Linked DNA regions of Coturnix japonica. The protein of the gene in region 1 binds, or shares a complex with, the protein of each later gene. Links are inferred from orthologs where the notes say so. Each region holds a gene or a part of one and is shown in the gene's direction. Other genes may lie near its edges.

The links.
Region 2: the proteins of MYO5A (region 1) and MLPH are in contact, whole or in part, in a crystal structure (PDB 4KP3), measured with the Mus musculus proteins. The link is inferred for Coturnix japonica from reciprocal best matches to the Homo sapiens genes MYO5A and MLPH. Residues at the interface, in NP_034994.2 of Mus musculus: Asp1524, Val1527, Arg1528, Leu1531, Thr1532, Ile1535, Asn1536, Lys1539, Ser1570, Gly1571, Leu1588, Thr1589, Asn1590, Phe1591, Asp1592, Leu1593, Ala1594, Glu1595, Tyr1596, Val1599; in NP_443748.2 of Mus musculus: Lys184, Lys186, Arg187, Leu188, Leu189, Ser190, Phe191, Arg192, Asp195, Phe196, Glu197.

The regions. Positions count from the first base shown.
Region 1 is NC_029525.1:7,693,957-7,697,772, forward strand, and holds part of MYO5A (unconventional myosin-Va), read left to right. Parts: intron 1-2,310; coding exon 2,311-2,550; intron 2,551-3,029; coding exon 3,030-3,278; intron 3,279-3,816. UniProt on the Homo sapiens protein: Processive actin-based motor that can move in large steps approximating the 36-nm pseudo-repeat of the actin filament. Can hydrolyze ATP in the presence of actin, which is essential for its function as a motor protein. Involved in melanosome transport.
Region 2 is NC_029522.1:8,696,492-8,700,307, reverse strand, and holds part of MLPH (melanophilin), read left to right. Parts: intron 1-1,246; coding exon 1,247-1,429; intron 1,430-2,525; coding exon 2,526-2,876; intron 2,877-3,029; coding exon 3,030-3,092; intron 3,093-3,234; coding exon 3,235-3,292; intron 3,293-3,816. UniProt on the Homo sapiens protein: Rab effector protein involved in melanosome transport. Serves as link between melanosome-bound RAB27A and the motor protein MYO5A.

The DNA.
Region 1 (3,816 bases):
CGGTGAGCAGGGTGATGGTGGGTACACAGTTGGACTGGATGATCTTGGTGGTCTTTTCCAACTTTAATGAATCTATGAATCTGTTGTGTGTTTTTGGAGGGACCAACATACGAGGTGGTTGTACTTGCCTGTCAGGGAATTTCCCCTTTGAGAAGTAAATTGTTCACCACAGTAAAACACAAAGTTCTCAAGATGGACGGAAGGTGCATTAACTGCATCTGAGACATGGCATGGAGGTATCACCCACATAGAGGTGTTATTTTATAAAAGCTGAGATACAGGGATGTCCAGACTCAGAAGCACAAGCTCTGCTTGCTGTGCATGCAGAGGCAAACACATCTGCTCTGAAGTTCATGATGATTGCAGGTGAGTGAAACTGAAAGGTCGTCCTGTGACTGCACCCTCGGCTGAGCTGTGACTGTACATAATATATGGTGCCCGTGTTGGTAGTTAGGATTGTGAAAGGTATCTGTTGTTGTTTTTATAACAGAGGACATGGGTTGGCAGTCACATGACTTACAGAAGGAATTTGAAATTGTTGAATCATCTATTTCACACGTCCTGGAGAAAGCTTCTGCCTGAGCCTTGTTTGCTTGAGAAAGCCTTGTTTGCTTCTGCAACGTGCTTGTTTGCTTAAGAAGGAATTTAATTCCTCCAGAACTTTGATATTAGGTTATCAGGCAATATTTTCCAGGAGAAAATACCTGATACATTAAGTGACTTTTCTGATACTCTCACTGGATTGCATGGGTGTGAGAATTCACTGGCAGATGAGGACCATCCCTGCACAATGGAGGTACTCTATGGGACTTACTGCTTCCACGCTCCAGGTGATAACGCTGTTGCAAGCTAGTTGTATCTTAGTTGTTAGGGCACCTGTGGGTAACATGGAAGACTATTTCAGGGTGCAGGTATGGATGAGGGAGGAGTGCTGACTTTGTTGCTTGCAATCAGAAGGACTTTGGCTTTTGACCTTGCTGTAGTTTCTCGGGATCTGTTTCCTTACCAAGTTGTACATTTTAATTGAGCACTGGTGCTTCAAGTCCTCGTTTTTTTTCTTTAAAAATGAATGCTAAGGCAGAAAGCTTCTATTTCTTAGAATATTGCCACTTTGCCAGTGAACCTTTCAAAGTCATTGATCTGAAAAGGTAATGTTTTCAACACATTTCAGTACATTTGATAAGAAGTATAAAATGCAATAAAATTTGATTACAGTACTGGTTTGCTTTATCAGCTTTATGGTAAATCTGTGTAAGAATGTGAAATTGTGTTTGATCTTTAAGCTACCAAATCCAGTAAGTAACACAAGATCTTAAATAGTTTTGCTTTTTAGAGTAAAGTTTGTAATTTGCAGAAGCTTTATTAAGCGAACTCTGAAGTTCTCAGAGTTCTGGGAGCCTTGTGGGTTTACATGTGCTCTCCCAGCTTAGCTGTGGTCTATGGGAATTCAGGTGCTCCAGACCTGGGGGATCACTGTTTGAATCCATGGGTGCAGGATCCAGAAACACATGGTGGAATCTTCCTAGTGGAAATCTCTGTCTGATTGCTTGATTATTTTTCATTAAAGTGACTTTTTAAAAATAGTTACATCTAATTATTTTTACATTGCAAATCTATAACTGAAACTTCTGCCATCAAATGAATTGGAATTATCACAGTCTAAAATTTCTGATTAAAATAAATAGAGAGAAAAACATTTCTCCGGCTGACAAGTATAAGGAGTGGCAAGCAAAAAGAAAGAAAAGGAAAGAACACGTACTAGAGCTTGTAATTCAGTCATCTTAGGGTATGGCTGTTCTTACTAACAGCTGCTATAATGTGCTCTGGGTCATAATGTGTAATAGCTGCACTATGTGTCAAGTGCAGTGATTTTGTGCTGCATATTGATGAATTCTGTGCTGCATATATCAATGCTTTTAAGAAGTTTAAAAGTAAAAGAAACAATAAAAAAACCCATTCTAGTCATCTGGATTGTATTTGTAATCTTGCCAAAAGGTACCATGTATTTTTATAATTAGCTTCATCTGACATCAGCAGAAAGGAATGCTTGGTTCTTTAACATGTCTCTTGTTCTTTCTTTCCATGTCCTTAATTCTGTTTCCTTTTCTTTTTCTTTTCTCTTGTCTTCCTTATTCATGTCTTCTTTTCTATTTTCATTCCAGATTCATTTCTTTTACACTTCCCCAGTAGTTTCTCTTTTCAGACTAAGGCGTCTCTATTTACATCATCTTTATACCTTTCATTATGGAGTCAGTTTAACTTAGCAGGTGTAACTCTAATAACACTTGTGGTGTTTTTTCTTAACTGTAGATGCTTCGAGAGCACAAGTCTATTATTATTCAGAAGCATGTAAGAGGCTGGCTGGCTCGAGTGCACTACCATAGGACCTTGAAGGCAATTATTTACTTGCAATGCTGTTACCGGCGCATGATGGCCAAGAGAGAACTGAAGAAACTGAAGATAGAAGCTCGGTCTGTGGAACGCTACAAGAAGCTTCACATTGGCTTGGAGAACAAGATCATGCAGCTGCAGCGGAAAATTGATGAACAGGTAAAGCTCTGGGAAAACACTTGGCAGTCTTGTATTTTCTTCTGTAGCACTGTGGGCATTCATTGCAAATCTCTTCTCTGCTGAAGAATGCTGATAGAAGAGAAAGGCAGACAGCATTTGAACTGAAATTATAAAACATCTGTTTGTATCTCTCAGAAGCACTGAGAGAAAGCATCTGCTCCTTGAATTTCAGTCTTTCATTGGAAGCACCCCAGTTGCTCAGTTGAAGGGGAACTTGAGATGATTGAGTTTGGTGTTAGTGGGTTCTTTGTTTGATTTTAGTTCAGTACATTATTATGTAAACTTAAAGACTGGACTGTTCTGTCACCCCTTTAAGCAATTCTCCTGCAGAAACAGAATGAAAAGGAGAGAATTGCTCTCTTGTTCCCCTGTCTTGGTATATTCTGTAAGCAATCAGAAAGCTTCCTTAAACCAGAACTTCTCCAACTGCCTCGATGTCTCCTTTGTGTTTTGCAAAGAATAAAGAGTACAAATCTCTGCTGGAGAAGATGAATAACCTGGAGAACACATACAGTACAGAGACAGAGAAGCTTCGAAGTGATGTGGAGAGGCTTCGGATGAGTGAGGAGGAGGCTAAGAATGCAACCAACCGTGTTCTCAGCCTTCAGGAGGAGATTGCCAAGCTCCGGAAGGAGCTGCAGCAGACTCAGACTGAGAAGAAGACAATTGAAGAATGGGCAGACAAATACAAACATGAAACTGAGCAGGTAAGGATGTAGTCCCAGGTACATGAGCAGATGTACAGATGCCTGGTGTCCACTCACGTTTTGGCCAGACTTAACTGCTTTGGTTGTATGTCTGATACTTGAACAGTATTTTTAATTAGTGTTACAGCTGTACAACAGTAAATAGGCCTGATATCTAAATAATTGCACCTGTGCTTGAAGAATATGGTAAATTTATATACTGTGTATAAATACATATACTCAGTCTAGTCAGATTTTTATATTTAAAGAATTTGCCAATCTGAGTACCTAAGCTTACTCAATTAGTGCAAGATAGCACATCGTACCAAGAAATCATTTTACCTACCTAGAGAGTACACTTGTATAGATGTCTGAAATCAGTTCCATACACCATATTCAAAGAGTACCTCCTTACATCTTGTCTAATGTAAATAATTAGGCTGCTGAGCTCACGTATATATGGGCACTCTAGTTCAACAGGTTTTTACTAACCCCATATCTTTGCTTTAAGTACAAATGTCGCAAACAAGTTGTTCAGTATCACAGTTACTTGTTGATA
Region 2 (3,816 bases), on another chromosome or scaffold:
AGGTGAGACAGATGACACGGGGATTATGCAGCTTAGCTCCCAAGCAGAGAGACGTCCAGCCTTCTGCATTGCAGTGACACTCATTGCAATGACACTGTTGCAAAGGCAACAAATACCGTAATAGTGAGTGAGAGATGACTGCAGTGACGTGCAGGTGGAGGAGTTTGGGTTAAAGGCTGTGTCAGTGCCTATTTTTACAGCAGCCTGCCTTGCGGTTTGTTTGAGAGATTTCTGAGGGCATCTCATGAGAAAACCCTGTGACATTCTGACATAAGTGATCTGCAGTTATCAGAACTGAGTTCAGAGCACATCCAGAAGTGGGGAGCACAAAGCCTGATGAAACACAGCACCATCTCCATGACCAAATCCAGACCTGGGTCTGGAATTCACGTAATCATCAGTTGGTTTCTATGCAAGTCCCATCCAGTTGGGAAAAAAGGCTTCTAATGGGGGAGCGCTCAGATAAAAGCGACGTTTGTGGTGTGAAACATGAAACTCTGCTGTACCATGAGGGCACCATAAAGTGATAAGAGTGTCAGCTGGGCCGAGTTAGCTGGTTCTTCGCAGAGTGGCTTGCCTGGAAATACGTGCAGTGGTAAACAAAACTGTTTGTCTTTGTCTCCAGTGCACATATCACCCCAATCTCCTTGGTTTCTAGGGAATTATCAGCTGAGAGAGGGATGATGAGTTTCTTGGGTCTATTTTTATGAGTACTTTATGACTTACCTAGCAAAAAGGCTAACGCGGGCAGCACTTAGAGGCATCACAGCTGTTTGCGCTCCTTGAGGTGGGAGGGGAAGGATATCAGCCCCAGGCTCTGGCAGCAGGGCAATGTTACACTTCTTACACGCTTTTCCAGTGTGGTGACACAACTGGCTGACCTGGCAGGAGAAAGGGGTAAGAGCATCATCCCATATTCAGGTTGGAAAAGATCTCTAAGATCAACAAACCCAGCCTGCCCCACCATGCCCACTGACCACGTCCTTCCCTGCCACATCTCCATGGATCAGGAATTCCCCAGGGATGATGACCCCACCACTCCCTGGGCAGCCACGTTTTCAGCCCCACTGGAGAGCCCTTAAGCCCTTCTGTTATCCGTTCTCCATCTTCCACTGGCTCCCCTAGGCCTGATGCCCCTCCATGCCTACTTGTACTGAGTTGTACACTAGAAGTGCACATTATGAAATAATTAAATACTCTTTTTTTTTCCCTCACCCCTTCCTTTACTTTGACTGGGCATTCACAGAGGTCCTCAGCTCAGGCTTTGAGTGAGATCACGGCCAAAGCACTGAGAGCCATAAATGCCACGGAGAAAGCGGTCTCTGAGTCACTGCAAGGACAGAGCTGGGGCAGTGGTGGCGGTGCCTTGCATCTCAGCATGGAGGATGGGAAAGAGGCAGCTGAAGCATACCGTGAGCTTGAGGAAAATGTAAGGTTCCCCAGAGTCTCTGTGAGCAGGGAGGGATTTGAGGGTGGGATTTCAGTGGACCCCCTCTAAGCCGCTTGTTAGTAGGTGTGCTGGAGGTCAAAGGATGAGCACTACAGGCATATACGTATAAGGATGCTGCGACCCTCCCAGCTACGAAGCTGTGGGTTGTGAAGCTCAGGGTAGAATTTAGGGGAAGGAAATGTTTCTGTTTGCCTCTAAAGGACTAACTGAGGGTTGACACACTCTGATTTTCTTATATGCCTCAAACAGTAGGTTATTTGTAGTACATAGACACAGAGGTCCTCCTAGCTAAGTGCTGTAGCTGGAGATCTGAGCTTGGGCATCACACCTGTGCTCCAATAGCCATGCCTTCTGTCATCCCCACTATCCCATCCCATGATTCTGAGCCCCTCCTGCTGTCCAAGTGAGCCGTGCTCCTTCCTTTGGGGTCTGACTGGTGCAAGAGCAACATTGGGCTTCCTGCTTCTTCTGCTCACTGGAACTGTGTGCTCATCCCACTGTTCCCTCGGGTCCCTGGTGAGTCAGGTCCCACTGCTTGCACTCTAAGGAATGCCACTGGCCTTGAGGATGTTTAATGATGCTCAATGGCCTGGCAGCAAACAGTGCCTTTGTGACTCACAGACTGAATGTCAGTGCTTGGTTATGGATATGCTGCCTCAGGGTTTTCTTTGGGGTCAGTGGGAACCTGTAGGACATGAGATGTGGGTGCTCAGCATGCCAGCAGATAGGGCTGGAGGAGCTGGCTGTGCATTAGCAGTACTGAGATTTTGGGATCGTTCAGCACAACTGTGGCCTTCTGATGTTATTGTATAGACAAATTAACTTCTTCTAAATTACTTTGCTTGGACTTGCATTCATGTAGTAGCCAAGGGGCAGTAATTGCACTTGAGTAACACATCTCCTCCCTAGCTTGCTGCCAATGGGGCACGCAGAGACAAAGAGCCCTGCCAGAACTGAGCAGTGCTGCCAGGGCTGCAGGGTGGGAAGGCAGTCATAGCAGCATAGCAGCAGGAGAGGAGTGAATAGAAAGCTTAATGGTGTGATCTATTATTTTTTTTTCCCCTTTTTATATCAGGTCTACCTGGCCGCTGGGAAGGCCTACCAGCTGGAGACAACCTTGACAGAGCTTGAGGAGGGGGCTCAGCACTGTGGCAGGACCGACTCAGAGCTGTCGGAGCTGGAGGACAAGGTGGCCTTGGCGGCTGCACAGGTACAGCAGGCAGAGCGTGAGGTAAGGGCTGACCAGGAGCTGCTTCACCTCCATCCCAGTGAACACAGCTTGTTGGGAGTCTTCCACATGCTGCCCACCTGTTCTGTTTTCCTCCCTCTAAAGGTATCAGATATTGAATCTCGGATCGCAGCTCTGTCCGCTGCGGGGCTGACAGTGAAGCCGGTGGAAAAGACAAGGAAGAAATCAAATGGGCAGGTGAGTGGGGAGGATGGGGGTTGTGAGCACAGGAAGGGCTGCCTGCCTGCTCCCAGCTGCTTCCTGGCTGCTCTGAACCTCACTGAGGATGACATGGGAGGCTGCTTTGGGGTGGAGCAAGCCCAGAGACCTGTGCCCCTTTTCTGTCTGCAGGCCTTCCACATCTGCTCCCCCAATCCCACCAGCAGCCCCGGGGAGTCTTCGGATGATGTTAAGGTGGGTACATGTTAAGCATGTGTTTGATAAGCCTTAGTTCCATGTTCCAGGACACAGGTTTGAATGCTTAGCACAAGCAGCAGTGCATCCTTTGGAGGTACCTGTGTCCTCCCACTCATTCACTGCTTTCCCTCTCTTGCAGGCAATGTCTGGGCCACAGGTCCTCAGGAGGAGGTTCAACTGTCCCTTTGAAATCACTGGTAAGAGCCATGGCTCTGTCTGTGGGAAGACCTTGGCTCATGAGGTGCTTGTGAGCACCCCCTATTTTCTCCCTTTTTGGAATGCTGTTCCCTGTGCTTGTGTCCTGCCAGTAGAGCCTTATCTGTAGTGGAGGATCAGGGACAGCGCTGGGGACAGGATGAGGTGGCTCCCATACAGGTCTTGGTGGTAGACAACTGCCTGTCACATGGGCCATTGCTCTGCATTGTGGGCTTCTATCACCTTAGTGGCTCTGCCTTCAAAACTAGCCCTCAACACCCTACCTAAGACCATTGCTTCTTGCTTTAGCCATTTCTTCTCACTTGGTTGCCCTGGGGAGCGTATCCTTTGCCCTGCTATCTGCCTACCTCTGCTACTGGTCCTACTGCAAGGTCAAGAGCCAAGCCATGGAAAATGACAGCTTGGAATTGCTTGAAAGTAGGCCGTGACCTGAAACTCAGCCCAGCAGCCCATGTGGCAGAGGGCAATTGCAGAAAAAGCTTCATCCTGACAGATATCAGCAAAT